4 linked regions of the Alligator mississippiensis genome follow. The protein of the gene in region 1 purifies or fractionates together with the protein of each later gene. This does not show direct contact. Links are inferred from orthologs where the notes say so. Each region holds a gene or a part of one and is shown in the gene's direction. Other genes may lie near its edges. The genes, in order: ARMC8, MRPL18, HTRA2 and RANBP10.

What was found.
Region 2: the proteins of ARMC8 (region 1) and MRPL18 purify together in Homo sapiens (affinity purification with mass spectrometry; 3 studies listed by BioGRID and IntAct, with this or other methods). This does not show direct contact. The link is inferred for Alligator mississippiensis from reciprocal best matches to the Homo sapiens genes ARMC8 and MRPL18.
Region 3: the proteins of ARMC8 (region 1) and HTRA2 purify together in Homo sapiens (affinity purification with mass spectrometry; 5 studies listed by BioGRID and IntAct, with this or other methods). This does not show direct contact. The link is inferred for Alligator mississippiensis from reciprocal best matches to the Homo sapiens genes ARMC8 and HTRA2.
Region 4: the proteins of ARMC8 (region 1) and RANBP10 purify together in Homo sapiens (affinity purification with mass spectrometry; 5 studies listed by BioGRID and IntAct, with this or other methods). This does not show direct contact. The link is inferred for Alligator mississippiensis from reciprocal best matches to the Homo sapiens genes ARMC8 and RANBP10.

What each region holds. Positions count from the first base shown.
Region 1 is NC_081830.1:29,556,496-29,563,746, forward strand, and holds the start of ARMC8 (armadillo repeat-containing protein 8), read left to right. Parts: upstream 1-4,240; 5' UTR 4,241-4,278; coding exon 4,279-4,323; intron 4,324-7,251. UniProt on the Homo sapiens protein: Component of the CTLH E3 ubiquitin-protein ligase complex that selectively accepts ubiquitin from UBE2H and mediates ubiquitination and subsequent proteasomal degradation of the transcription factor HBP1.
Region 2 is NC_081824.1:137,784,070-137,791,862, forward strand, and holds the start of MRPL18 (large ribosomal subunit protein uL18m), read left to right. Parts: upstream 1-4,779; 5' UTR 4,780-4,874; coding exon 4,875-5,100; intron 5,101-5,106; exon of another isoform or gene 5,107-5,168; coding exon of another isoform or gene 5,169-5,244; intron 5,245-5,437; coding exon 5,438-5,621; intron 5,622-5,637; exon of another isoform or gene 5,638-6,713; intron 6,714-6,816; exon of another isoform or gene 6,817-7,793. Other genes in the region: TCP1 (T-complex protein 1 subunit alpha), read right to left, coding at 1,569-1,654, 4,613-4,685. UniProt on the Homo sapiens protein: Together with thiosulfate sulfurtransferase (TST), acts as a mitochondrial import factor for the cytosolic 5S rRNA.
Region 3 is NC_081825.1:370,959-378,055, reverse strand, and holds the start of HTRA2 (serine protease HTRA2, mitochondrial), read left to right. Parts: upstream 1-4,084; 5' UTR 4,085-4,130; coding exon 4,131-4,483; intron 4,484-6,489; coding exon 6,490-6,694; intron 6,695-6,795; coding exon 6,796-6,990; intron 6,991-7,097. Other genes in the region: lipid droplet-regulating VLDL assembly factor AUP1, read right to left, coding at 1,252-1,324, 1,406-1,593, 2,014-2,164, 2,421-2,558, 3,833-3,882.
Region 4 is NC_081833.1:34,362,329-34,370,239, forward strand, and holds the start of RANBP10 (ran-binding protein 10), read left to right. Parts: upstream 1-4,910; 5' UTR 4,911-4,991; coding exon 4,992-5,196; intron 5,197-6,219; coding exon 6,220-6,331; intron 6,332-7,911. Other genes in the region: TSNAXIP1 (translin-associated factor X-interacting protein 1), read right to left, coding at 4,195-4,223. UniProt on the Homo sapiens protein: May act as an adapter protein to couple membrane receptors to intracellular signaling pathways.

The sequences.
Region 1 (7,251 bases):
CAGCCAGTTGTGAATGCTCAGCATTTAGCTACTTCAGGACTGTCCAGCTGGCAGCCTATGGGCCACATGTGGCTTGCAAGGGGTTTAGTTGTATTCCCTGAGCTCCTCTGGCCACTGTTCCTCTATCACTGGCTGCAACAACATCTGGGGGCTCTGGAGTCCCCCTCCCTCCTCCAGCTTTCACTTGTGCCTCTGCCTCAGGGATGGGGTAGTGCAGCATAGTATAGGATAAGCCTAGAGGCATGTTGTGCAGCAGCAGCGGGGGGTGGAGGGGTGCCTATGTGAGCGTGGAGTGCAGTGGTGTGGGGGAAGGGGATGTCCATGCAGTACATTCCCCAGGACTAAGTGGCTTGCCCTGGTGCAGCCCCTAGGCACTTAGAAGTTTGGATAGCCTTGATCTACGTGACCAGAAGTGAACCTACTCTTGCACTTGACCGAAAAGGTTAGTGGGCTGGCACAGCACATTCCCCTTCTATGTGTTCTCAATTTTTAGATTAGTCTTGCCACATAAACCAAATGATTCAAAGTCTTTTTTCCACCTCTGGACCTTCACACATGTGGTTTGCAGGGGTTCTCAGCCTGCCTCCCATCCAAGGGCTGCTGAGACCAGTGCACTACTACCCTCTTTAAGTCCCTATTGCCTTGTTCCAGTGGCATCCACCATACTAAGATGCATCTCTTTCTGGTCTATACCACACAGGTTTGCTGGCACAGCTCGGGTGCTCATGCTCACAGCTCCCTTGGGCAGATCTGCTTCTCTCTGCCAGCTTACAGAAGCAACCAGAAAGGGCATGCAGAACGCTCATGCTTCCTGCCAGCTGCTGTGGACCCTTGAACAGTCGGTGCATCTTAGGGTGCACTGCTTGCACAGCTGGTATGGTTATATAACTGCCTGGATTTAAACAGAAAGGATGAGTTTGTTTCTTGTTCCTCTCATCATTGTCCTTATTGTCAGGTGAGGAACTAGCGCTAGGCACTTCCGATCCTCTGTTTGGAATTGCCTTAAATTTATAACAGTTCTTCTGTGGACAATAATGTAGTGGTACCAGAATGCCTCATGCATTTTTAGATTATTGCTGTTTCTTTTAGATTACAACAAAAGTTAGTATTTTTTTTTCCAACTCCTATGGTATTTTTAATGGTAGCCAAAGTTCTTACTAGTCCCTAAGTGCAGGACTTGGCCTTTCATATGATTAAACTTCTACTTACAAGATAATCTAAATCCTCCTGTATACAGTCTGGTCTTCCTCTATATTTATGACCATCCTCAATCCCCACCCCAGTTTAGTACCATCTGCAAATTTCATGGGTCTGAGGTTGGACTTCTGCATTCTCTCACTCCTGACTTAGTCCTTTTGGATAATACTCCTGGCAGTCACTACAACCATCTCAGCATATTGGGATTTTATGTTGAACAGGATCAGTTCTGTTCTCTCAGGGGAGATGACAGCATTACCTAGTAACCATAGAACAGCTCCCATAAAACAGAATGATCATATTTTCTAGCATGCCACATGCCCAAAGTAAGGTATATGCCTTGTTTGGGGAAAGCGGAATGAAAGAAAATTGTTCTAGTAATGGCTGAATGCTGACTGCAGAGGATCCTGACTGCAATGATTGTGGCTATGAGAAGGTTAATATTAGTTCTGACTGAAGGGTGGACTCTTCACCCTCCCACCCTAAAGGTAGCAGAGAGAGAAACCTGGCAGACATCTTGCTGTGCTGTCTATTCTTGCTTCTATTCCAACAAAGAAAAACCAGCAAAATCTATTTTGGGGGGCTGATTTTTGGAGGAAAAGGTGCTTGTGATATTGAAGTGCCTACACTATTCAAATAAAATAATAATGTAAAATGTACCTCAACACAGCAAGCCCTTTAGATGCATAATGAACTTATCAGATGGTCACTTATCCAGACTCCTGCAGAGCCTGTTTTCATTGGTCACGGTCTGCAACTTGTCAGTTGCTGAGTGGAGTCATCTGTCCCTTGTTCCTCTGATCAGGGATATTATTGTAGATAATCTCAACACCTTTTATTTAAGGCCTTTTAACCAGGTTGCACCAGTCTGTTCTTTTCTTTTCCTCTTGGGGAAAGGGGGTTGCATGAGGGGCTGGGCATGCATTATTTCTGTGTTGGGGATTTGCATTAGTTACAGAAACTGAAAGTCAGTGGGTAGGAAACATTCCTGATCTTACCTGTTAGTGATTGTTTAGCTGGACAAACAAGTTCCAAAGGATGAATATAGCATTAGGCATTACGAGTTAAGGGTTAGATGAAGCAAGGTAGGTGGACCTAGAATTTGTGGCTATTTTGATGAGCAACACAACAAAAGTCATGTAAAGAGATGCTAGTGAAGACAATTGAATCCACTTGGTCTGACCGTGAACCTAGAGAAGAAAAAAAATAATGATCATTGTACCACTGTTAGTCAATGTAACTGTGACAACTGGGAGAAAGCACTTGAAGCTAGTGAAACAATTAGCAGGTTTGTGCAAAGTTATGAGCAGACACTGATCAAGAAACATATCAGCCTCCAGATTAAGGAGGAAGTGATGCAACTATATATTTGATTTATAGCTAAATAGGGTAATGAAACCTGAGTCATCAAGACCAAAAAAATGGAAGTTTTCTCAATGTTTTATCTAAAAGATAACTGGAATATCCTCAACAAAACTTGTGAACAATGATTAAATCTAAGAGAACTGGATGGAAACTTCTCACTTTCACTATTGGGAAAATACTTGGAAAGGGGGGGTAGGCATGCTTTGTGTATGTCAAACAAACTAGTTCCAAAGAGGCATCAAAGTGGACACCAACATTTGAAGAAGTGAGGAATAAGGCAAAGTTGATGGGATGCTATCAAAAAGTAATGGGAGATGATTGGGATGAATTGCCTCAGCTAGTAGCTGGAAGACTGGACAGCCCAAATGTGCTGAAATGAATGATATGGTCTAACAACTAAGGAAAATGTCCCAGGAAGTTTTCTGTCCAGTGTAATGATTCTGTCCCTAATTGATGTAGACTTTCATATCATTCAAGAAGAAACAGCCTGATCTTTCTGGGGTACCAGCAGGGTTGCAAAGCTTTTACTTAAGATCTCTTTCTAGGTTACTTCCTCCTCCCTGCAGCTGATCTAGGTTGGCCAGTCTTGGATGTTCCTTTCTAGCTTCACCTTTTTTGTTCCCTAAATACTTGCTGCCTCTTCCTTGTTCTTTGCTGTCAGCAAGGCTCCACTCAGCCCATCATTTCTGGGATGAAATCTTAAGTGCCACTGAAGTCATCCCCAAAATCTCTGACCAGTGAGGCCAGGATCCCAGGTCTCATTCCTTCATGCTTTAACATCCCTTGGCCATAAGTTGCTGCTTCCACTCATTTGACCATTTCCAAGCAAACATTTTTGTTGCCTAAATTTGCTCCAGCACTTTGAAGCTGCTGGGCCATGAGGGAGCTGTTTCTTGTTGATTTGAAGGTAGAGAGAACAAACCATGTTTCTTCTCAGCCCCATCCTGGAGCAGGGGGCCCTGCTCCCATGTTTGGTACCAGGTTGGGGCCTGGGACAGGGGGGCTGTATTCACAACCCGGGTCAGAGAGGTAGAGCTGTGCACCAGGCCTGTGTCACATGCTACATTTATCACACAATTCACCGGTGAACGGCACATCAAACTTGGACTGGGCACACCCACCACATGGCCATCCACTTATGAAAAGAGCTGCAAGACGGCTACAAAGCGAGTGCTTGAACAGGGGTAACAACTCTAGGTCTGGGTCCTACCCAACTCTCATTGTAAGGTGTGCCAGAGTCCCTGATGCCTTGGCACGGCTAGGGGCGTCAGCAGATTCCACACACGACGGTGCCTCGACCCAGCAGATTCGTTACACCTTTCCCGCCCTGGGGTGTTTTATGAATGAACGTACTACGCATGCGCCTCGAAACGCGACCGCCAGTTGAGTCTAACTCTGCCCCTTCCCTTCCCCTCCCCGGCTCCAAGGCAGCTTGCGCACGCGCAGATCTGACCTACAGCCCTTCCTCGGTGCGAGGGCAGCCCGCACATGCGCAGGAGCTCTCTCCTGCGCCGCTCGGCGAGTCAAAGGGCCCGTGGCGGCGCCTGCGCACTGGGCCGGGCCGGTGGAAGGCAGCTGGCGTTTGGTGCCGGCCGATTCGCGCAGGCCGCTCGGCTTGGCCCGGCGCTGGGCCCGCCCCTCCCCCGCGAGCGATGCGGCCCTGCCCGGCGGCGGCAGCACGGGGCTGACGGGAGGCGCCGCCGCCGCGCTTCCAAGATGGCGTGTGTGCTGGAGGCGCCGCTCCGCATGAGCGTCCTCTCGGTGAGGCCGCCGGGCCGGGGCGGGAGCGGGACTGGAACGGAACGGAACGGAGCGGGGCGGGGCGGGGCGGGGCGGGCGGCGCGCTGCGGAGCGGCCCCTGGGGCGGGAACCGGGACTAGCGCCGCCGCCCGGGCCGGGGTGGGCTGGGCTGACAGCGTCTGCCGCTCCCGGCCCGCCACATCGGTCGTTCTGCGCTCCGCTCCCCGCCCTGCCCTCGCCGCTCTGCGCTCCGCCCGCCGCCCTGCCTGGTGCCCCATTTGCTGCTCTGTTCCCGCCCCACCTGCTGCTCTGCTCTCCACTTGCCCCCTGCCTGCTGCTGAACTGCCTGCCTGCCTGCTTTACTTACTGGCTGCTCTGCAATGTGCTCCCTCCCCGCAGCGTCTGCTCCCAGCCCTGTGCTCCCCACCCCATCTGCCCCTCAGCTTTACACTTGCCACCCCACCTGCTGCTGTGCTTTCCCCTGTTCTGAATCTGGTGGACCACATGCAGAAGTGTCTTGTGCCCCTTGAGGCAGCTATGCCCCAAGTTGGCCACTCCTGGTTTAGTGGATAGTGTGTCTCAATGTTAAATGTAAGAGCCAAAGTAGTGTTTGTGTCCTGATACCACTTCTGCCTCATCATTGGCCATCCCATGATTCAAGGACTATCTCTACCATGGGTCACTGATCTTAGGGGATCTTAGGTGATTTAAGAGTCTGATCCTTGAGCCACAGATTTGTCAATTTTTGCATTAGATAGTTAAAGGGCTGAGAGGCATTTGGATGTTACCCTGGTGTCTTTCCCATTCTCTTGTCTACATCATGTTTAATTTTGGATTTCTTCTCTCCTTTGAAGTGAGAGCTGTAGTATTACTTTCTCTTTCAGAAGAAGCTCCTCTTGCCTTGTTCTACCTGCATTTATGCTGATCCTTGAGGAGGAGTTGGGTCTGCGCTTCCTGGAGGCCTGTATTTTTGCTAGGTAGAGCTGGGCAAATAAAAGACTACTCGGTTCGGTGGTTGAAGAAGAGGAGTGTTCTCAAATTGAAGCAGAACTTTGTTTTGGCATAAGCAAAACACATGTTCTGTTTCATTTGCAGGCACTTTATCTGCTTTGTGCCCCTTTTAAATCATAGGTCACTTCACATATAACAAAATGCCTTTCAAAGCAAACCGTTCTTCTGAAAATGTTTTGACATTAGAAAAAATCTTCCATGTTGCCACTGAAATAAGTGGATTCAGTGGGATTTCACAAGTAGTTTGGGTTATTTCAAAGCTCTGTTTTTCTGGCAAATTTTTACTGTTCACTGAAAACATCTTGCCAACCTCTTGTCTTGTTTGTAAAAACTGCTGTACAGGGATTGTAGAGCACTCTTGCCAGTTCATTGCCAGGAAGTGGAAATCAGCTTGGCAATAGAAGCCTGATCCCTTTGCTCTTGTAAGTCTTCTGGGTCTTCTCAGGTGGCCTAGTTGCTGTGCTTTGTAGTGCAGGGAGGAGGCACATCCACTGCAGTTGCCCTTTGATCTTTTGGTGGGGTATATTGCTTTTAAGTGGATATTGAAAGGGATGCTTTCATTCTTTGCCTCTGGGACACGTTTGTTTACTGACTGCAGTTGTGTCCCATGTTCGTAAATCCTAGCTTGCCAGCCTCAAATGGTATCTTGCAGTAACTGTGTCTTAACTCTTATGAAACAGCTTTTAGGTAATGTCCTGCCCACTTGGCATGAAATGGTCTAGAGGCCAGTTGCCACTTTTATTATAAATAATCTTAGTCTGTTTTGGTTTGCTTTTTCTCACTAGGTAAGAAGACATTGTATTTGATGGGTATAAAATTTGCCTTGTACGCTATGTCCAGCCTGGGGTATGCAGTGATAGCAGCTTTGGCTGTGGCTTTAGGTACAGGGAGATAGCTGATCTGGCATGGGGCTCAGCTCTGGTTTCTGCTGCCTGGCCTGTGCTGGAGCTGAAACTGCAGCCACTGTACTTGCCCTGTGACATAGCAGCAACAGCTACAGTTCTGGCATGGGCAAAGGGGTGATGATGAGGCCACTGGCAGAGGAGTTAGGACTGCAGCAGTGATGACACAAGAAGTAGCAAGGAATGTATCAGCCCTTGCTCACCTTTCTGCTGCCAATCCCCATGTCCATCAGAACCCAAGGATGCTTGATACCAGCTGGGGTGCATCGCATGCTGCAGAAATCTGCCAGTGTCCTGACACTCCTGCTTTACCTGAACTTTAGAGCTGGTCAGCAGGCTAGAAAGCAGCAGATTCTAGCTTTGGAAGCTTAATGAAGGTCTGGACCTAAAATCTATCTGGGTCCTGCCTCACCATACATGCCCTGCCTCACCTGGGCTGTGCTGAGACTATCCTGCTCCCTTGGGCTAGATAACCAAAGTGACGTAATAAGCAGAAGCCATTCTTGAAGGAAATGTAGATCTAGATGCTCCAGGTGGTTCATCTTCTGCCCCTTGATGCCACACTGGTCTGGAGGAGGGCAGTACCACACCAGAAATCCAGCTGGATAAAGAGGTGAAGGTTTAGTCCAAGGTCACTTGCCATTCCAAAAACAAGGCAGAGCTTCCACAAATCACCTTCATTCTTTCAAGGAAATTCATCAAGGAAGAAGGTAAAAGCTTAATAAAGGAAGAAAAGGCTCAGTTGACAGACCTTAACATCTTTTATAAGGGTGCAGGCTAAATTTTCCAAATCTGATGCCCTGAGCTAGCTGCTTACGTATGGCTTTAGGAAATCCTTTAATATGTGGCCTTTTTTTTTCAGGAGTGCTGAATACAAACAAATCCCAATAGGTCAGGGAGACCTGCAGATGCCTGGTACTTTTGAAAATCAAGCAACTTTTAGTGTAGCGTATTAATTTATCAGAAAAAGTATTGGAGAAGGCTTTGCTAAGATACAAGAAATGCTTTTTATGAATGTAGGCATGTATGTTCTGTT
Region 2 (7,793 bases), on another chromosome or scaffold:
ACCCAAACTAAAAAGGATACAGTGGTTTATAGACACAAACTGAATGCCCAGAATCTAGTTTAAATAAATGTTACATAAATTCCGCTGACAAAGCTATACTGTCTCAGCTGGTAGGCAAAGCTAAGCCAGAAGGCCTCTTTGTCGACACAGCTCTCCTAGCAAAACTCTGTTTCTCTTGGCAAATACACTCTTAAGGAAGCCGGTGGCATAACCCTGGCAGCAGAGAAACTCCTTCTACTGGTGCAGGTTGCTTAGAGGATTCTGCCACAGTAGCTATAGCAACGACAGCCCCAGAATGTAAACTAGGACTGCCCAAATGGCAACTGTGATGGGTTAATTAGCAACCCCTGGGCTCCACTCCCCCATCACTCCCTTGGCTGCTGATGCCAGGGTCTCTGAACTTCCCACTGTCTGGCCCTGGGGGGCAGGGTGACCCACATGCCCCTGCAATGCAACCCAGGGGGGAGAGCTTACACAACACCCCCCTTTCCTGCACAGCTGGGGCAGGAGGAACTACAGCATATAGCCCAAGGGAGGTATAGCCCCTGGGTATACAATTAATAAACCCACACTCTTAGCAATACTAAACAAATAATGTAATTTATTTGTTATTCAAAGTTTTTTTGCAAAATGTTCTGCCATTTCATATAGGAAAAAGATATTTGCAATCTTTTCCTTCAGACTCTGGCACTTTTTTCTTTATCCCATAAGCATAGCCACTTAATCTGTAAATCGAGGAAGTGGTAGTCAAATGGGAAGCACACAAAACCTGACCTTTCCTTCGGAATCTGAGGTAGGCAGAGCCCACGTTTTGATTTGTTAAAGGATGCGTCTGATTCACATCATTGATTAAAAGTTAGCTGTCACTTCTAATCAAAGCTATTATTTAAAAAGTAGCAAACTGCCTGTCATGGATGACAGGGGGAAGGAAGGGGAGGACATGGGCGGGGATGGAGTGCTGCCACCCAGTACCCCAGTGCCACTGCTCCACCTCCAGCCCTGTGGGCCCCCCCCCCCACTCCTCTCTGTCCGTGAGGAGGGGGAGGGGCGTGGCCACCCTTTGGATGTGGTGGTGAGACGGGAGCGGGGGTGAGGCCGGAGGGGGGGGGGGGGGGGCGAGGCCAGCGCTGCGCCACCAGCACCCCACACCGCCACTGCCTTCAAGAAGCAGGGCCAGGGGGTGGGGGGCAGAAGCTAGGCCAGCACTGCTGGCCTCGCCCCTCTGGCTCCGGCCCCTCAGTCCCTGCTATCATGGTGTCAGGGCTGCACTCTGCCCTGCCCTGTGTGTTTGTCTGTGCAGAGCACTGATTGGCTGCCATTACAACCAATCAAAGTGCAAATAAACAGTTATGGACAGACAGACTAAGACTTTTATTATATTAGAGTAAAAAATGAATGCTCTTCCATAGTCATACTGAAGAGGTCAAGTTGCTAAATGCATAAAGACCATGAACAACATTTTACACAGGAACAGACTGAACAGGTCCCTACTAGATAGCATGAATTTGAGAGAAAGCAAGCAGAGACCTTTTCATTACAGTTTAAGACAGAGACGTATGTCTACTTACGCCAATATCATCCACTAACATTTTATCCAAACCAACTGGCCCAAGGGAACTCTTCACAATGTTAGCAATGGTAGCTGCAGCTGTAACTGTAAAAAACAGAACAGCAAGTAATTAGGTAACTCTTCACAAATAGCCAATTCTAAAGCCCACATTCCTGTAAGTATAGTCCCCGTTTTAAAAGTCTGGAATATAAATAATTTTTGTCTACTTTTGGCACATGTGCTTTTTCAGGGCCTATTTGACTGGGGAAATGAAAATGACTGGGGTGACAATATAAGGATCCACGACAAATCCATTTGCACAATTTGAATGGACACCACGAAGACACCTCGTTTGGCTTCAGGACTAAGCGTTGTTTTTGCCTAATACAGTTAATCAACCCACAACTGTAAATGTACTAAATGCATGTAATTTACTTATTATTCAAAGTCTTATTGTATAATGTTCTGCTCTCTCATATAGGAAAGAGATATTAACTATCTTTTCCTTCAGACTCTGGCACTTTTTTTTCTATCCCATAAGCATAGCCACTTAATCTGTAAATCGAGGAAGTGGCAGTCAAATGGGAAGTGTTCAAATCTGATCTTTCCTTTAGAATTCTAAAAGTACTAAACCCCTTCCTATTTTTTTGTAATCAGTGCATACAAAGAGCTGTTCTTGCTACTGGTATTTACCTGACGGTACCAAATTTCTTATTAATGTGAATTCACTTTATTTAATAGTGAATGTGGCAGACAGGTTACCTTCAGGGAGAGATCCAGCTCAGGGGCGGGCAATTATTTTGGGTGGAGGGCCGCTTACCCAGTTTTGGCAAGCTGTCCAGGGCCACATGGGTAGCTCCACCCCTTGGCAGGTGCCCCGCCCCTTTATAGGTGCCCTGCCCCCTGATCACCATCTTGGGACCAATGTCCCAATATCTTGGGACCAATGTTTCAGGGTCATGCAGGGGTCTGTGGAGCCAGGCTGGCCTGCACGAGCAGGGAGAGAAGGGAGCCCTGCTCTGGGCCCTGCTGGTGCTGGCCCCAGGACACCAATGTGGGCCCTGTGTTCCCACTGGCTCCCATGCCCACTCACTCTCAGTGCCCCCTGAGCCCTACGGTACAAGCAGGGGGCAGCATGCAACCCCGACCCCGCGCTTGTCGGCAGGAAATGAGCTGGTGCTGAGCACAGGGAAAAGCAGCCCCTCCCCCACCCTGTGGCCCACGCTCCCTGCTGCAGCTGCTCACAGCCTGCTGGGCAGCCCAGAGGCAGTGGAGGTAGCCTCAATGCAACCTACTGTGGTGTGAGCTCTGGGCGGGCAGCAGCAGCAAACACTGCCCAGCATGGCAAGCAGGGGAGCTGCAGCTGCTGCCACCGTGGCAAAGCCCCAACGGACAAGCCCAGAGCCAGCATGGGGCCTGGGCTGGCAGCGGGGGCGGGTTACAAGCTGGTACTGAGCATGGGGAAAAGCAGCCCCTCCCCTGCCCCGTGTCTGCTCAGGACAGCCCTGCGCAAGCTGCAAGTGGCTGCAGCAGGGAGCACAGGCCATGGGGCAGGGCCACTCTCCCCCCCCCCCACTCAGCACCAGCTCATGCCCCCCACCCACCTTTTCTTACCCAAGCTTCCTGTGCTGGAGGAGCCACCTGGTCCCAGGCCAGAAGCCCCCGCTGAGGCCGGGCAGGCCCTGCTGTTGCAGGAGCCTGCCAGGGCTTCCTCTGGGTCCTACTGTTCCTGGCTCCTGTCATTTTTGACAGGAACCAAGGACAGATAAATATTAATTTTCTAAATTTTTAGGGGCCCTGCGGGCTGGGTAGATGGCCTAGCGGGCCGGATCTGGCACATGGGCCGTATTTTGCCCACCCCGATCTAGGGGCGCTACAAGAACACTAGTGGAAACTGAGTCATCAAGAAATAAATCTTGAATGACTTTTCTCCATCTCCTGTTTCTAATCTCAGTTTTTACTTCAAGAAGAAATCCCATTTCAGTGCATTTGTGCACAGCTCTGGTAACAACTTGTTTCAAATATGGAATTCAAGGAAAAGTTTTCCCCCATTCAACATGGGGGCGGGGAAAAAAGCCCTTGTCTTGGGTTCAAGTAGGAGGCAAGGGTGAGGGGTAGGTGGCTGCTCCGACTTCAACCCAGGTGTGGGGTCAGAATGCTTCCCCCAGCAGCCCCTGCGCCCCAGCCATTTATCTTCTGCTGCGGCTCCAGGCTCAATCTGGCCTGGAGCACGTGGGGGCTCCAGCCTCCACCCAGCCAGGCAGTGGCCATTGTGGCAGGGGTTCAAGACAGGGCTAGAGCTGCTCCCTGGGTAGCCAGAAAGGCTGGCAGAGGGATGGGTGGGACCAGGGGGTGCAGGTACACGTGGGAGGGGGAACAAATAAGGGGGAGGGGGAACATGGAGGCACCGGGGGTAGATGTTAGGCCTTTTGAGCCCCCTGTGACCTGGTCGCAGTGGGAGAGGGTGGTGAATTCAACACGCCCCCTGATAATTCAATTCTATTTATGGAAGAGAAATAACTGCCCATCCCGAACAGCTCCATGCACGGGCCTGGCCAAAGCCTGCCCCACTAGCATCACTAGCTGTACGGTAATTATTGTATTTACTTCAAGTTCAACCCCTGCAAAATTAACAATAGTAAAAGCGCTCAAAACCTACAATTGTTTTTGAGGCAGCTCATACACGCAGCATATGCAAACCCCAATTCACACTCAGGGAGCCTCAATTGCCTTTCGGGCCGGCCGTGGGTGCTTCCTTATCACTCCTTGCCTCAAAATGAAGAAACGCTTCCACTTGGATGACCCAGGTCTTGCTCAGGAGCGACTCCCAATGAGCAATATCGAGTAAATGAGACAACCACCTCCTCCTTGCATGTTGACTTGTATATTGCCCAGTGTACAATATTTTTTTCAGCAAATACAGGAATTCTGAGTTTCTAATAAGATAATTTCATATTTAAGACCTGACAAACGCTGCCCCCACCCCGGAAGCGAGGGGACCCCGGAGCCGCGCGGCCCCTCCCCCCCGGCAGGCGGCGGTTGGCTCCGCCCCGCAGCCGTTACCGTTCTGGCTGCGGACTGCATCGCCGGAGCTGCGCTCGCCTAGCACGGCCAGGGGCCCCTCCAGCGCCGCCATGGTCCCGCCCGCACCACGCCGGCAGCCGCGAGATGAAGCGTAGGGCACGCCGGGAACTGTGAAGGAGAAGAGGAGAGGAAGCAGCCAATGGCTGTCTGGAAGGGCAGTAACGTCAAACGGCTGTTGCCCCAATCCGGGAGCTCCTCATAACGCCCGGCGAGCGCTGCCTGGGCTGCAGGCGCTGATTGGATGCTGAAGCCGGCGGGGAGACGCGAGTGCGGGCGTCACGGGGATTCGAAGGACATGGGCGGGGCTCAGGGCGAGTGCAGCGCTGGGCTTCCAGGACGTTCTAGAAGGCGGCAGCCGATTGGCCCCGCCCCCTGGCTCGAGAGCGAGGCTTCCCGGAAGGCAACCCGGCTACTGGGGCGGAAGTTCACGTCCTTTCTGTTTCCGGGGCAGCGGATCATTCCCCTTAGTAAGAGTCTAGGCTCAGCCCAGGAGGCAGCTTGGTGCGGGCGGCCGCATTTTGCCGCTGTCGCCGCTATGGCGCTGCGGAGCCGTGTCCGGTCGCTGTTGTTGAGTGTCGCTGCCGCCGCCAGGCTCCGTGGGGCCAGCGAAGGTGCCGGGGATGGGGCTTCCGCGTAGGGGGTTCCGTTGGGCAGGGAACTAGTCTTACGATCGCTTGAGTTCTGTTTAGACTTTACCCACGACGCGCAGAGTCGCTGACATCTTACAGGCGAGGCCATTGGCTGAAGTAGTTCTAATATTTCTAACTTATTTTTCCTTGTCTCTTCTTTTTGCTTCCCCGCAAGGTCTTCGTTTCACATCTGCTAAAGCCAGCTTCGAAGTTGCCGGTGCGGAGGCGGACACAAGTGAAAACGAGGTTGTCGCCCCGGATTTCGCCAACCGGAACCCTCGGAACCTGGAGCAGTTGGCGCTCGCCAGGAAGGAGCGCGGCTGGGAAACCACTTGGCCCAGCAGAGAGTTTTGGCGTAGGTGAGTTGTGGACTTGTTTGGCAATAAGTGAGTTTAAGAACCGGAGCATTTTTTTAAATCTGAGATCTCCAGTGGTACTCAGGAAGTGCTCGTAGTAAAACTGTTGGACCAGAGGCCCCCTCAAACTTAGGCTTTGTGTATGCAGGTAATTAGGGTCAACATAGCCTAGGCTGGTGATTCCTAACTTGGGTGCCTTGAGAGCCTTTGAAGGGTGCTGCGGGGTGCCAAGCCATGTTAGCACTGCTAGGTGTGTGGACGTGATTTGCAAGACTGAAACAGATTTCAGATAAGCCCTAAGGTTAAAAAAACATTCTGCCCCATTGTGGTCTTTCTGAGTTCTTTGCAACAGAAAAACTATTCTGTCTTGTTTTTGTAATTTAAAAAGCCTAGAGAGCTCAGAACTGGCATTTTCCAAGGGATGCCTTGAGCCTAATGAGCGGGTTGAGAATCGCTGTCCTAAGCTCCGTGGCTAGCCACAGTCCACCCAGCCCCAAACATTCTGCTGAACTTCAGGATATGAGGAAAGGCCTGCCTTGCAGTGTACCTCTCCCTGCAGTATGTTTGGAGATTGCCCAGATGCTGTAGGCCACAAGCACAGGAGTCCCTCCAGTGGCTGTTTTCAAGCTGCTTCTTCCTAACTTTCAGCCTTTCTGTCCTCAAATCTTGTCTATAATTGGAGACAAGATGTGCAGGAGAAACAAGTACCATATTTTCTTGCACATAGCATGCCTCAAAATAAAATATGTACCTTGTTGAAAAGTAGAAGGAAGGAAAAATAGCTTTCCTTGAAATAGTAAGTTACTGAGTAGCACAGGGGCAGGCAATTATTTTGGGCAGAGGGACGCTTACTGAGTTTCAGCAAGCCATCAAGGGCTGCATGACAGGCAGTCCAGGGCAGGTTAATATTAAATTTTCTAAATTTTTTAGGGGCTCCATGGGCCGGATAGAATGGCCTGGCGGGCCGCATTTTGCCCACCCCTGGAGTAGCAGCTTCTGCAGCACGAGCCTCGGCTAGGGAGAAAGTGTCCACAGCCAGCAGCTATGGAGCCCCGCTGTGCTGTCCGATATGCAGTGTTATTTCACTTTCCTCAGGTAGAGGCATTATTTCCCTGTTTATGACAGACTCTAATTCCCAGCAGCTGAATCTTGGAAAAGGGGTGTATGTTACATGCAAGAAAAATATGGTAATTTGCAGACTGATATCTACAAGGGGATCTGCTTGAAGGACAGGAAACATACTTTGGATGGCTTTGGTGTAGGCTGCAAGGTAAGATACAGATGAGGAAGGGTGGCACATGTGGCTCAAGTTGGTTGAGACTGACCCTAAGTGACCTCTCATCATGGATTCTGTGACTTTTCCTGTTTCAGATATGCAGAGGCATAGTCTTGTTAAAGATACTATGGGGTACTTTCCATCTGCTTTAGGGTTACTAACAGACAACTTGCATAGCAAGAGATGTGAATTTTCTCTTGTCTGTGATTGCCTTGTAACAATGCCCAGCTTGAGACACCTGGTTCGTGTCTGAAGATATAGAACATCTGTGCTCTGGAGCGGATTTCTCTTTAGGGTGCTTAGTGATGAATTACCCAATCTGGTAACACCCTAATCTCACTGTCTCTCACCCCATCCTCATCAATAAATTAAGCGACTGCGGCATTGATGCCTGCACAGCATGCTTAAACTCCAGGAGAAAGCACAAAAGAAAACTTCAGTATCCACAGACATATAAGCTCCTTCTCCTGTTGGCCTGGGGTAGATTCAGATCAGCAACCTAGACCAGAAAGGTTCATGCCTGTGTTCCTTGTCCTCACAGCCAGTCTGCTATGAATGAATTAATGACATTTTTTTTAATGTAGGGCTCAGCCCTGCAAGGCACTGAACACCACCAGCTTCCATTATGTTCAAAAGAAGTTAAACAATGTTCAGCACTTTTAAGAATCAGACTTTTTTCTACTACATATGAACATGGCCATACTAGACTGAAAACTGAAAAGAACATGGACAAGTTAGCCCATTTTGGTTTATATGTTTGCATTCATTTTTTGTGTCATAATCTGCATGTACAGACAAACAGAAACTTTATTTATATAAAAAATGCAATTATAATTGCATTTTAATTTACCCTAGCTCAAAGTATGCACTTCTCCCGTGAATTTATCTCCACTGTAAGA
Region 3 (7,097 bases), on another chromosome or scaffold:
GCAAAGGCGCCTGGGGAGGAGCAGGGGGCTGCAGCACTTTCAGGATTCAGCCCCTGCATACTCAAGAACAGCAACAACAGGCCCCGGAGTGTCCTCGCTGCCTCGCTCCCAGATCCGACACACGCAGGGGGACAGGACCATGCTCTTCAGCAACAGCTAGAGAGCTTGAGGTGCAGACAGACCTCTTGTGTCCATCCCTTTGTAGTCTTTATTTCAGACTCCCAGTTGCAGGTCTAATGGGCGTCAGACCAGCCAAGTCTTGGGCATCTCAGGGCTCTAATGTACCTCAGCTGTTCCACGCAGGTTCCTTGCTTGCTGCCTCCTCTGCCCCTGATGCTGAGAGGACAACTTTGCCTGCCAAACCAAGCCTCCTCTGGCTCCCTGATCTTTAGCCTGAGCAAACACCCACAGTCAAGCAGCTCCTTGCTTGCCCCAAACCAGGTGTCCCCACTGATCCACGTAACAGCTCCACAACCACCCTACGTGTTAGGGCAGCACAGAGCAATTTTCTCTTCCATTGGCTCCTGCCACATCTGTCTGAGCTGGATTGGAGAAGAGTGGTCTAATGAAATCGCCTGACTGTAGATTCACAGGGCAGGAAGGGACCTCAGGGGTTGCCTGGTCCAGCCCGCTGCACACGTGCAACCGCTGAACATCCCGGCCAGCCTCTTCTTGGAAACCTACCTTAAAAGGTGATTCCACAGCCTCCCTGCCCCATCAACAAAAAAGTTCCTTGAGAGCTCATTGAGGAAAACTCAAAAGCTTTTCCACTGCAACCCATGCAACTGGGGGGTGGTCACAATACTAACCTTGCTATGAGCCAAAAGGCCTATGCTCAAGCCCCTGCTCTGCCCCGAACTGTGCGCAGGACCCCTGGCAACTCAGCCTCTCCCCTTCCTCACCAGGGGCATCAAGGATGAACACTGAAATCTGAGGCACCTGCATACTATTGTAACAGTGACCAAGAAGCGCAGCGGACAGACAGCCAGATCAATTGAGAGCTTATTGATACTGCTGCTGTGACTAACAGAAGCTCAAAACACAGCATCGGTGTTTTTCAGTTCGGTTTCCGTGGTGACAGATCATTAATGATCAAACATTTGCTACAATGCAGCTGCTAGGAAGGCAGAGATCGAGGCAATTGAAAAGAACCTCAGGACGCAGCACAAGCCACAGGGCTCAGAGGAACAGCGGAACGAATGCCAGGCAACACCCCTAGCCCAGACAGGCTCTTCCACACCCAGGACTCACCACAGTGATTAAGGGCCTCTGAACTTGCAGAGTGACTGGCTGAATCGCATCCAAGATTGAGAACGGCCAGGAGCTGAAAAGGAAGCGTTCCATAATTAGGGACACGCTAGCACAGACGGGGCCCCACCCCAAGGCAGGCCCCCACCACTGCTACCTGAAGCGGAGCAGGCCGACTCGGCCATTGGTGGCTGCTTCTTCTGGGAACAGCAGCAGCGGCGGGTTTTCTCCATGGGCTGAATACGCTTTCAGGGAATCCACCAGCTCTGCCCGGCTCCCTGCCGCCCCCAGCTCCATGAACCCCCGAGACCAGCAGATGAAGCCGGGGGCGCTGTTGAGGGCAGGCTGCAAGAGAAGATTCAGGGGCAAGTTAGAGGTGCTGTCCCGCTCCTCAGGACTCAGCACCAAGTGCTGCCCCCGAGCAGAGACGTCTGCTGCTCGAGTTGTCGGAAGCCCCATCAGAGGTGCCGATTCAGTTGTAAACTGAAATGACTCGAGGACTACGGCCCCTCACTGCTTCCTGGGCAGCTGCCACCTGCCCGTGCTGGGGGAAGCCCTGTGCCCAGCCCTGCTTCTGCCCCAACCTACTTACAGAGCGCGACACACAAAGGCCGTCAGCTTAACTGAGCTGAGCTCTGCTCCTCCCTGCTCTCAAGAGCCCAGGAGACTCTCTGGGCTGGCGGGACAGCACAAGGGCCCAATCCTGAAGCAGGCCCCTCAGCACCACCCCTGGGAGAGGGCAGCCCTGCCGCCTGCCCCACTCACAGTGTTGCACGAGGTCAGCAGATTGATAACGTTGTGGTCGAAGTGGGTCACGTGGTTGGCGATATACACCCTGACGCCAGCACCACGGAGCTGGGGGTCGCTCTGCCGCACCACGAGGCCCAGCATGGAGCACATCACCCGCACGACGAACCTGGAACGGTAACGTGGGAGCGTTGGGAGGGCCACGCGGGGCTTTGCACATCCCTCTAGACCCACCAGGTGCCGATCCCTGGCAAACCCAAGCAGGGGCCTGGGACAGGCTGGGAAGCACTGGAACGAGCGGGGAGGGGGGACGCGCTGGGAGCCGAGGGGCAGGGACAAATGCCAGGATGGGCCGCACGGACGAGGAGCGGCAGCTCTGAACCAGGGCTGCCGGGCAGAGCCCCCATCCCGCCGCAGGCACCCACCGGCGCAGCAGGCTGTCGGGCAGGGCGCAGCTGACCAGGAAGACGTGGACGCCGACGAAGAGGCGCAGCACGAGCAGGCACAGCCCCACAGGCGCGTACAGCAGCAGCGCCAGCAGCAGCAGCCCGTCGCTCGGGAACCTGCCACGGCCGCCCAGCGTCAATGTCGGCGCACGGGCACCCGCATCCCCTGCCCCGGGCTGCACCCCCCACACGGGCACCCACACCCCCTGCCCCGGGCTGCACCCCCTGCCCCGGGCACGCACACCCCCTGCCCCGGGCTGCACCCCCCACACGGGCACCCGCATCCCCCGCCCCGGGCTGCACCCCCACCACGGGCACCCGCATCCCCCGCCCCGGGCTGCACCCCCACCACGGGCACCCGCACCCCCCACACGGGCACCCGCACCCCATGCACGGGCACCCGCACCCCCCACACGGGCACCCACACCCCCCGCCCCGGGCTGCACCCCCCACATGGGCACCCGCATCCCCCGCCCCGGGCTGCACCCCCCACATGGGCACCCACACCCCCCACACGGGCACCCGCACCCCATGCACGGGCACCCGCACCCCCTGCCCCGGGCTGCACCCCCCACACGGGCACCCGCACCCCCCGCCCCGGGCTGCACCCCCCACACGGGCACCCGCACCCCATGCACGGGCACCCGCACCCCCTGCCCCGGGCTGCACCCCCCACATGGGCACCCGCATCCCCCGCCCCGGGCTGCACCCCCCACATGGGCACCCACACCCCCCACACGGGCACCCGCACCCCATGCACGGGCACCCGCACCCCCTGCCCCGGGCTGCACCCCCCACACGGGCACCCGCACCCCCCGCCCCGGGCTGCACCCCCCACACGGGCACCCGCACCCCATGCACGGGCACCCGCACCCCCTGCCCCGGGCTGCACCCCCCACATGGGCACCCGCACCCCCCACACGGGCTGCACCCCCCCACACGGGCACCCGCACCCCCCACACGGGCACCTGCACCCCCCACACGGGCACCCACACCCCCTGCACGGGCACCTGCACCCCCCACACGGGCACCCACACCCCCTGCACGAGCACCCACGCCCCCTGCCCTGGGCTGCACCCCCACCACGGGCACCCGCACCCCATGCACGAGCACCCACACCCCCTGCCCCGGGCTGCACCCCCCGCACGGGCACCTGCATCCCCTGTGGGCACCCGCACCCCCCTCAGGGGCTCCCACCCCCCCCGCCCCAGGCTGCACCCCCCTCACAGACACCACACCCTCCGCCCCGGACTACACCCCCTCTGTGCGCACCCGCCCCTCTCACGGGCACCTGCCTCCCCTGGGGGCACCCGCCCCCCCGCCCCGGGCTGCACCCCCTGCGGGCACCCGCACCCGCACCCGCCCCCTCGCCTCCCCCGGCCGCCGCGCACCGGTGCGAGTCGAAGAGCCGCTCGGGGCCCGGCGCGGCGGGAGGCTCCATGGCCGCCCCGAGCCGCCTTAGCGAGGCCCGCGGCCCGGCGCCATCTTCCCCGCGCGGGGCAGGCTGGGAAGCCACGAGGCTCCCTCCCGACACCCAGCCTGCCCCGCGGCGCGGCGCGGCCCCTCCCGGGACTGCGGCTCCCGGCATGCCCGGCGGCCCGGGCCCGGTGCGCGATTGGCTGCTCCCGCCCGCGCCCTCCCGCGACCCGTAGGCCGCGCGCCGGAAGCGCAGGGCAGCTGGTGCAGAGCATGGTGGCGGCGGCGCGGGCGGCGGTGTTGCGGCTGCTGCGGGCGGCGGGGTCGCGGGGGAGACTGCGGGGGCTGTTGGCTGCGCCGGACCCCGGCCCCGACCCCGACCCCGGCCCCGGCCCCGGGCGGCTGCGGGCGGCGCTGGGCGCGGGCGCGGCGGGGGCGGCGCTGCTGCTGCTGCTCTGGGGCCGGGACCGGGGCCGGGACGGGGCGCTGCTGCCCCGCGTGTCCGCGGCCGTGCCCGCGCCGCCCCCCGCCGCCACCTCCGCCCGCGCCCGCGCCGCTTTCAACTTCATCGCCGACGTGGTGGAGAAGACGGCGCCCGCGCTCGTCTACGTGGAGATCCTGGGCAGGTGCCGCGGGGCGGGCGGGGCTCCCGGGGCCGGCGCTGTCTGACCTCGCCCCCGGCCGGCCGGCCGCGCGGCCCCTGCTCCCTGCGTCGGGGCCGCTCCGGTGCGGTGCGGTGCAGGGTTCGCGGGGCGCGCCCTGCTTGCAGCCGAGTTGAGGATGTTAGCTGGGCCGGGAAGCCGGGGGCAGCTCTGCACAAAAGGACCAGGGGCGATGGGGGACAAGACGCTGGACAGGAGCCGGCAGTGTGCCCTCGTGCCAGGAAGGCGACCGGCATCCCGAGTGCGTCGGTAGGAGCGGGGCCGGCGGATGGAGGCAGTGATTCTTCCCTCTATTCAGCACGGGGGAGGCCACATCTGGAGTCCTGCATCCAGCTGTGGCCCCACTGCAGAAGGAATGGGGACACACTGGAGAGAGGCCAGTGGAGAGCAGTGAAAGTGGTTGGGGGCTGGGGGACAGGACTGGTGAGGAGAGGCCGAGGGAAGTGGGCTGATTGAGTCTGCAGAAGAGAAGACCGAGGGGGATTGAATAGCAGCCTTCAGCTCCCTGCAGGGGGGCTGCAAAGAGGATGGAGCTGGGCTGTGCTCAGTGGGGGCAGATACAGGACAAGGAGCAGTGGGCTTAAGCTGCAGCAAGGGAAGTTGAGGTTGGCTATGAGGAAAAACTCTCACGAGGAGGGTGGTGAAGCACTGGAGCAGGCTCCCCAGAGAGGCGGTGCAGTCTCCATCCCTTGGAGGGTTTCAAGACCTGATTAGACAAAGCCTTGTCTGGGATGATGCAGTTGGGGCTGGTCCTGCTTGGAGCAGGGGTTGGACTAGATGTGACCTGAGGTCCCTTCCCACCCTCGTTGTCTGTGATCACAAGGGCCATGGGGCGCTGCACAACACAAGGACACTGCAGCTTGCAGACTCCTGAGACAGAGCAGAGATTGCAGTCAGGATCCAGAGCCTCCAAACTGAGGGGAAGGGGAGTTTCCGGGGGCTGGCTGTGTGGCGGGCCAGGCGGGGGAGCTCCTGCGTTGATCCTCCCACCTCCCCACGCCCGTCCACCTTCCAGGCTCCACGTGTCTCTCCAGGGGCACCTAAGCCCTGGCAGACCCCCTTTCAAGCCCCACTGCTGAGTCCAGGGGTAACGTGTGCTGCTACCACCCCGAGAAGGGACTGTCTGGGCCCTGTGTCCTCGGGGAAACACAGGCCTAATAGTCCTACGGGTACTTGACCCAATACAAGAACTTGGGGCACTTCCCCAAGTCGGGGGCCAAAAAGGATGGTCTCCCTTAGTCCGCAGACCCAAGGGGCCTCCTGGGCATAATTAAACCCACCCTTCAATAAGTCTCCCACACCAGTCCCTCCCAAAGGAGAACTGTATTGGTTACAGAGGGCAGGGTTAGAATAGGGTACAGGGTAGAGCAATATCAGAGAAATCCCATAGAGCAAACTCCTGTGGCTGGGTAGCCTTTGATCTTGTATCTGAGTTACTGCAAGCTATATATCTAGTTGGATCTCGGTTAGCTTACTCACGAATATCGTCCAGAGGCTGTTGGAGATTCCCTCTGGAGGCAGTCGGTTCCTTGATCATGAGTTTTGAGAGAGAGAGCACGTTTCAGATGGTACCGCTCTTCTTTGTTCCTGAGTATCCCTCATGGCTGCTGCCCCTTCCTCCTGGGCAGTCCTTAACTTATATAACCCTTGTTAAAAAGCCTAAGAATCACTGTGTTAGGCAGACACTCGTGGGGCAGATCCTTCCTGGAGCTGGACAGGGTGCGATCTCTGGAGGCCATGCCAGCCTGGCTGCTTTTGGATTCCCGTAGTAATCCCTGCCCTCTGCTCTATGCCCCCCTCCTGGGGTCAGGCACTTGCTCCTGGGCAGCCCCTGGCAATGGGGTGGCTGTGTGTGGGTCCCTGGGGGGGCTGATGTTGGGTGGGAGGCACGTGCCATTGCAGCGCAGGTGGGGCCCCCTCAGCGTCCAGCCCGGTCCTGTCTCAGGGGTCACTGCCCTCTGGCCTTGCAGGCATCCTTACTCGGGGCGGGAGGTGCCCATCTCCAATGGGTCTGGCTTCGTGGTGTCCCCAGACGGCCTAATCGTAACCAATGCCCACGTGGTGGCCAATCGGCGGCGGGTGCGAGTGAAGCTGGCCAGCGGGGAGCTCTACAATGCCGTAGTCCAGGATGTGGACCCCATGGCTGACATTGCCACCATCAAGATCGAGCCCACGGTGAGTCCAGGAGGCTCGGGCCAAGGATGCCCCCTGGGCGCACAGCCTTTACCTCGACGTGTCTTGGTCCTTGGCCCCACTGACCCCCCCTTTCTCTCCAGAGCCCTCTGCCCACCCTGCCCCTGGGCCACTCCTCAGACGTGCGCCAGGGGGAGTTTGTCGTGGCCATGGGCAGCCCCTTCTCCCTACAGAACACAATCACCTCCGGCATCGTCAGCTCAGCACAGCGGGGCAGCAAGGAGCTGGGGCTGCCTGGTTACAACATGGAGTACATCCAGACCGATGCTGCCATTAACGTAAGAGGAGTGTGGGTGGGTGGGTTGGGGGGGCCTGCGGGCGGGGGTCTGACTGACTGCCTCCCAGTGCCCAGTCAGACTGTAACACCCTTATTGAGGCAACCTGG
Region 4 (7,911 bases), on another chromosome or scaffold:
GTTCTTGTCTTTATAATAATGTCCAGTGTACATTCATTCTGGTGTACAATTGTTGTTTGGTCTCTCCTACATATTTTCCATCGGGGCATTTGGTGCACTGGATGAGAGAGATAACATTTCTGGAGGTGCAGCTGTAAGATCCAGGAATGGTGATGTTTTTGTTGTGGGGTGTAGTAATTGTGGGGGTACTGGAGATACGTTGGCAGGTTTTGCATTTCTTGTCATGGTATGGTCTGGATCCATTTGGTTTGTTTTGGGCTGTAGGAAGGTTGGTTCTGGTAATGAGGTTAGCAAGGTTCAGTGCTTGTTTGAATTTCCAAACTACTTTTCACAGACAAGCCTAAACACCTCACTTCATAAATCTACTGGATATAAAAACTCATGGACTCAATATAGACATTAGAATTTTGACACACTACAACTTGCCTGACATCTGACTCCCCAGGTACCTCTCCACTTTTACCTGCTACATCCCTGCGCCCCCATCCTGTCTTTCACCCCCTGACACCTCAATTTACATTTTCACTGACTGGCTTTCTTGCCTGCAGCCCAGCCTCTAGGCTTCTTTACTATTCATTCCATTCACACCAACTGCAGATGCTTCCTCAGCCTGATGAAGGGTTTTTAAACCTGAAAGCTTGCTAAGAAATATTTCTCCAACTATTCAGTTGGTCTAATAAAAGATATCAGATTGACCCAAAGAGCCTTGTCTGCCTATGTCCTTAGACCAACACGGCTACAATTTACACCCCTTAATACACACAAGCGATATGAGTTTTGCTTTCAACAGGTTGAGCAGCACTTTCACAGAAACATCTGCACCTATCTCCTTGGGACTCAGCAGGCTTCATGCCCTCATAAGGGTCTACCATCCCTGCTGTGTTAATCCAAATTGGCAAAAAAATGACAAAATTATAGGTATTTTAGTGATTCCCAATTATAGTCTATGGCTGAATCTCCGAATCCAATTCGGCCGAATCAAATCAGAACAGAGACTTGAATCACCAAATCAAATCACTGTCCCTCTGAATTGGCCGAATCCGAATTGAATAGTTAACACTTCACACAGGCCTATTGAATTTGTCAGCCTTTTTAACATGTTTTTCATTGATTATCAAATTTCCAGCATCAAGTGCCTCAGAGAAATCACAGTGTATATAGTCCGTTTTGGATAGACTAATCTTCATTGCTCTTCCCTCTAGCACTTCTCTCCATTGGTCCAATCCAGTTTACACTTCCTCTAGACTCTCGTTACAAATGACCACATCATCTGCAACCATCATGTTCCAGGGTGGTCTCCTTCTTACTTGTTCAGTAAACATATCCATCGTGACTGCAAACAGGAACAGGCTCAAAGCTGACCCTTAGTGTATGCCCACCTTCACCTCAAAACTCCCTCTCTCTCTCTTGAACTGCTCCTCACTTTCAATGTACATTTCCAATACATGTCCTTGACAGTTCTGGCATATTTCTCTGGCACCTCCTTAACTCTCAGACACTCCCATATTTCCTCCTTGGGTACATGATTGTAGGCTTTCTCCATATCAATACAAATGAAATGGATATCTTTATCACCTTTTCTGTATTTTTCCATCATCTGTTTTATTGCAAAAACCACATTCATGATACTTCTCCCCAGCATGAATCTGTACTGGCCTTCTCCAATGACTATCTCAGTCCTTAGCTGATTCTCCACCACTCTTTCCCATGCTTTCAAAGCGTGAGACATCAATTTGACTCCCTGACAGTTGCCACAGTCTTGGACATTACTTTTCTGCTTGAATATCGCCACCAACACACTCCCTCTCCATTCATTTGGCATCTTCTCCATTGCAAATATCTCTTTAAACAGCTTACACAATATATTGATTCCTTCTTCCCCCAAGACTTTCTAAACTTCCACTGGTATATCATCAGGTCCTGTTGCTTTACCATTCTTCATTTTGTTCAGTGCTCTTTTCACCTCCATTCTGCTGATGTCAGTCACCATGCCTTGGTTTTCTGTGGCATTTGCTTGCAAACTTCTTGGGTTCTCTTTGTTCATCAGATCTTCAAAATAGTTCTTCTACCTGTCCTTAATCTCTTCTTCGTTCGCCACCAGTCTCCCAGACTTGTCCTTGATCGTTCTCACATTACATCTCTCATCAATTTCTCTTCTCTTAGCATTCCTGTACACTTCCTTCTGTCCCTGTTTTGTTTATAGCCTTTTATACATATCATCCGTTGCAGTGTTTTTGGCCTTAACAACAGTCCTCTTTGCACTCTTCCTCTCTACTTTGTATACTTCAAAGTCCAGAGGGTCCCCTGTATCTTTCCATTTCTTACACTTCTCCTTTTTCTCCTGTACCTCTTTCTGGACTTCCTCATTCCACCACTATGTTTCCTTCCTGATAGGCATCTTTCCAGATGGCGCTCCTCAGATTTTTTTCTTGATCTTATCCACCACCTGTTGCCACTAACTTTCAGGGTTTTCTATTTCTTCAACCTACTTCTTCCAACACTCCTGTTCTGAAGGCCTCTCTTAGTTTCCTTTTCCTGCTGCAACCTCCAGCACTTACTAAATATCAAGGAGTTGAGAAAATTATGTCTTACAGCTTTCACCTTCATGTCCATGACTACCATCCTGGGATCACCTTACAGTCTTTCACCTCTTTCCAACCCCATTTCCTCACTAGCAAATAATCCACTTGAGTTTCTCTAAGTCCACTCTTGTACACGATCAAATGTTCTTCTCATTTTTGGAGGAATGTATTTGAAATTGCAAGACAGTAAGATACTGCAAAATCTACTATCCTTTCCCCCTCTGCATTGAGGTCTCTGAATATATGTCCCCCATGTAGCAATTTCTACTTTGCCCAACTTATCCATTGAGGTCTACCCCCTGCCCCTATTTCACTGTCTGGAACCTGTTGCGTCATCTCATCCACCTTTTCCCAGTTCTCCTTCTCTACTGGATTCCCTATTTGTGGGACATACATGCTCGTCACGCTCATCAATTGGCCTCCATTGTCCAGTTTCAATCTCACAATCCTGTTGTTCTTCCTTTCAACTTCCAACATTTTGTCCTTCAGTTCTTTGCACAGGATCATCTTGACTCCATTTCTTCTGTCTCCACTGCTATAAATCCTCCACCAATCTCTCTGTTTCCTGCACACATACAATATGTACTTTCTTCCTTTCCAACAAGAACGCCACTTCTCTACCTCTTCCTGTCATACTCCCCACATTGAGTGTTGCAACTCTCAGATCCTTTCTTTGGACCAGCTTCTTTTGCTGCACCCATCCTTGGTGCGGTAGCAAAATTTGTAGATTCATTGGAATATGACAGGATTGCACCATAAGCACTTCTACTATAGCCTCAAACTTGCAACCTTTGGACTATCAGCCATGCACTTTAGCACCCACACCACCCCCATCCCTGTTCATGGGGCAACACAGCAAAATAAAACTGCCAACTTTTATACTAAGTGGCCCTGCTTCAAGATGTCAAGTTGAAAGATGCCATTTGTATGAAACATGAGGGTTTATCCTTTAAATACCAGAATGCAGCTGAAGCTTACCCAGGTTGTGACCTATGGCTGAATGAGGAAAGATACTGTGCAACTTTACCTTTTGTTACTGGATGTGTCCCAGCACCAACAAGGTTAGGCTGACGAAAGTATGCAGAACCTGGAGGCAACAGCCAATGCCAAAAACAGATAAATTGCTATAGTATCCTACTAGCTCTTATGTTATGGCCTGAGAAAAGGGAGAGGATCTTGATAAGAAGAATCCTAAACCTACTGGGGTTTATACCTTTGGGATTTGATAATTCAGGGACATCAATTGGATAATGTCTCTCTCATAGCCAACAGGTTTGGACAAACTGTGAATCATCTGGATAATAACGCTCTCAAAATATTAACAGTTGTTAAAACTTGTCCATCGGCTGCCGACGCACCTCGCCCTGAGCCACCACCCGCGGCCCGAGAGCGGGGAGCGCAGCGCTGCAGTGGGCCCGGGCCCGCGTGTCCCCGTTTCCCGCCCGGCCCGGCCGTGCCCACGTGCGGCCCCGCCGCCGTCAGACCGCCCCCCCCCGGTTTCGGCAGGTGCTGACGTCAGCAACGCGAGGGCTCCTGGCCGAGCGCCGCAGCCGTAGGGAGCCGCAGCCGTAGGGAGCCGCCGCCGCCCCCGCCCGCGCCCGCCGGCTCCTACCCGCGCGACGGCCCCCGGGGCCAGGCCATGCTGGCTCAGCAGCGGCGCGGGCTGTTTACACTCGGTCTCCCTAGAAACAGGCCCCGCCCCGCCCCGCCCCCCGCAGGCCCCCGCGCAGCTGCCCGCGCCGCGCCTGAGGAACGAGCTTCCCAGCGGAAGCAACGGCACAGCCCTGGGCGGCGCAGGGGGCAGGTCTCCTGGCTGAACCCATTCCCCGAGGGGGTCCCGGGGTCTGGCGCCCCCGGCAGTGCCGCCGTGCCCGGGGATGACGAGTGCCTCAGCCGCGGCCCCCTGCCCCGCACCGGCGTGGCCCCTGCCTCCGCCGCAGCCCCGCAGGGGAGCGGAGTGGGGAGCCGCGTCCTGCAGGAGAGGGGCGAGCGCACCCAGGGCGGTCCTGGCGGCGGGGGTGGGGCAGCCCGCGGTGCAGGACACCGGCGACCCATCGCCCCGCGCCCGAGCTGGGGAGCCCCGAGCCGGGCTGTGCGGAACAGTCAGTGACTAGCTCACGGGGCATTCTGGGACTCGTAGTGCAGGGCCCCCCTGGCCGATGCGAGCCGCCCCGAGAGCGAACTCCTTTTCCCAGCATGCTGCGCGGCGCAGGGATGGGGCGGGGCTTGTGGCGCGGAGCCTATCGGGAGCTGCAGTCCGCGCGTGCGGAGAGCGGCGCGTGCGGGACGGCCCGGGACTCTGTTTTCCGGCAGGCACTGCGGCCCCATTGTGGCCGGAGTCGCGGCCCATTGGCTGGCGGCCGGAGCCGGGCCTCGCTCCCCGCCCGGTGACACAATAGCGAATCCAAGATGGCGGATCCGGGCGCAGGAAGCTTGCACGGGGGGGACGCGGCGCTGCCGTGCCCGCCCGAGGAGCAGGAGCTGAGCCAGCGCCTCCGCCGCCTCTACCCGGCCGTGAACCAGGACGAGACGCCGCTGCCGCGGTCCTGGAGCCCCAAGGACAAGTACAACTACATCGGTCTCTCGCAGGGCAACCTGCGCGTCCACTACAAAGGTGCCGGGGGCTCGGCCGGGGTCGCTGCTGTCGCCGTTCTCGGCCGCGACAGCCGCGGGGGCCGCTGGGGCGCGGCGTCGGGCCGGATCCGGGCGCCGGGCTGGGTCGGTCGAGCGGCAGCCTTCGCCCCGCCGCTAGAGGGGGCCGCGCCGGGGCCCGGCAGCCTCGGCCTCCCTGCCCGCAGGGGCTGGACGGCCCCCGGATGCGGGGCGCGGCGGAGGGAGCTCGGCGATGCTCCTCCGCCCCGGGGGAGGAGACAGTTTCGGGACGGGGGGGCCTCTCGGCTCAGGCCTTGCAGCCGGCTGCGCGAGGGCCGAGCACCCGGCCCGGGAGCTCCCCTGCCCTAGGGAGAGCTCGGACGGCTCCGAGCCCAGCTCCCCGCCCCCCTCCTGTGTGGAGCCTTATATAACACTTTGCAGTGTCATTAGCTTGGGCTCCCGCTGCTCCCCCATGCTGCCTGGCCCTGTCTTCGTTCCCCAAAGGGCTGATATCTCGTCTGCTGCTGCTCCTAAATACAAGCTTGCAGGGGCCGGGGGTTGTTTGCACTGAGGTGGGGCCCCTTCAGCACTTGAACTAGTGAAATTGTCAGGTTCCCAGCTCCAGGGCCCCACTGGGAGCTTTAGTTGTTCCTTCCTCATTATGCTGAGGGCTGCTTTCTCCAGTATCCACAGCGACCTTCTTCTTGTTAGCCAGTAAACTGCTGCCGCTTGTACCTTGAGCCATTTGCTCGTTGGCTGTTTGTGCGCTGAGGCCTCTGCGTTGGAGGGAGCCTTGTGCTTCTGTCTCAGAACCTTAAGAGTGGAGACAAAGGAAAAACTACAGAAGCACGTACTGTAGGCCATGTACATGGTGGCAGTGCAGGATCGTATATTTTAAGTGACTGAGGAATCCCTTTTATTTCCCTGCTTGCAGAATTACTTTTGCTGTTGCAAGTCCTTTCCTCTGTTCAGACAGTGTAATTTCAGAACACAAGGCCTTGAGACCTCATAGCCCTTAAATATTCACTTTTCCATTGTTACTTAGGTCATGGAAAAAATCACAAAGATGCTGCTTCAGTCAGGGCCACACATCCCATACCTGCAGCTTGTGGCATTTATTACTTTGAAGTGAAGATTGTCAGTAAAGGTAGAGATGGGTAAGTACACTGCTCCAATTTGATTTTACTGGTGGTTACATGCATCTTCTGTGCTCACTCTTGTTTGCTGAATGGGTTAGAAGTTTATTTGACAGCTGATGTTTGTAACAGACAGGTATGTGTTAGTGGGTTATATCTGCATAGTCAACAGGTGGCACACCAGTAATATGTATTGGAATGAGGTGCCCTTATGTAGCTGCTCCCTACATAGTTCTATGTGGGCAATAAGTACTACTCAGGAAGTACTAATCCTTTAAGACAATTTCAATTTCACCGGTGTTTACTTTGTTTCAGTGATGTCTGCTTGGTATTCAGACAGCTGGAAATGGGAGGAGAGGAGGGACCTGAGAGAAGAATATTAGATGTCCTTGTTAGGGAACATATAGGAAACCAGTCCAAGTAACTTCACACAGCATGGAAAAATTCTCTATTTCTAAGGTCTGAAAACAGACAGTCTATAAGCCTAAGAATTTCTTTTCATGATTTTTTTCATCAAAATGTGTGGAGGCTTTTTTTTTAAATGGTTATGGGGACAGGGCTAGGGTTAGGGTTAGTGAATTGAGGGATCAAGAGGAGCCATTAACTAACAGGGAGTAGCTACTGTGTAAGCTACAACTCAAGAGTTAGATCACTAGCTCTGTTCATCAGCCCAGTCAGTCTTCTGAAAGACCAAATTGAAAAGTTAGGACATCTTTGAATTGGTTGAGTGACTATACTGTTTTGATTTGGTTCCTGCTTTTCAGACTGGCTTGAGGCAGCCTTGATGTTTTGAAATGAAGTGTAAGAAGGTGCTTTTAGATTTGGAGGAGCTGTGAACATTATGTTTTGACTGTCATGCTTTCTGGATGGACAACAAGTAGCAGTAATTGAGCTCTGGAACATTAGCTTCTCTCATCTTGTCTGGAAACTGCTTATGAACAGCCAGGGAAAGGATTATTTAAAATAGAGAAAAAGAGGCCTTTGTAAATGTATGCAGGATCTAGGTGTTTTCTATCATTAGTTGAACAGGTGCTGGCTTATGACAGGCAGCAGTTGTGCAGGCTTGGGAAATCCTAGTGTTGGACACAAAATACAAAAAATTGAGTTCTTCCAATAGATGTAACTTTTGATATACTGTAGGATACTACCAGCTAACTGCATTTATTCTCTAATCCAGGGGTTTTCATCTAGGGGTACACGTATCCCTGGGGGTACTTTGGAAGGTCCCAGGGGGTATGTGGCAGTGCATTTGAGGAGCCACTGGCACTTCGGTTTTGTCGCTGCACAGGGGACCCTTCCCCCTAGCTTGTCAACTGGCTGCTGGGGGACTCCCTGCTTCTTGCCTGGCTGCTGGGGGTACCCCGACCAAAAAAGGTTGAAAGCCTCTGCTCTAATCCATTCTCGTGCAGAGCAGCTAGAAGCACAACAAAGGCAGCATATCCTGTCTGGTGCTAGAAGCAGAATATGAACCATGTCACTTTGCAGTATCCACAAATAGGCAGCTCACTGAGTGGTGTTGTTGACTGCTTAGTTTGGCTTCTATCCAGCCTTCTACTTGATTGTGATCCCTACATAAGGTAATGCTCTGGACGAAAGTCTAA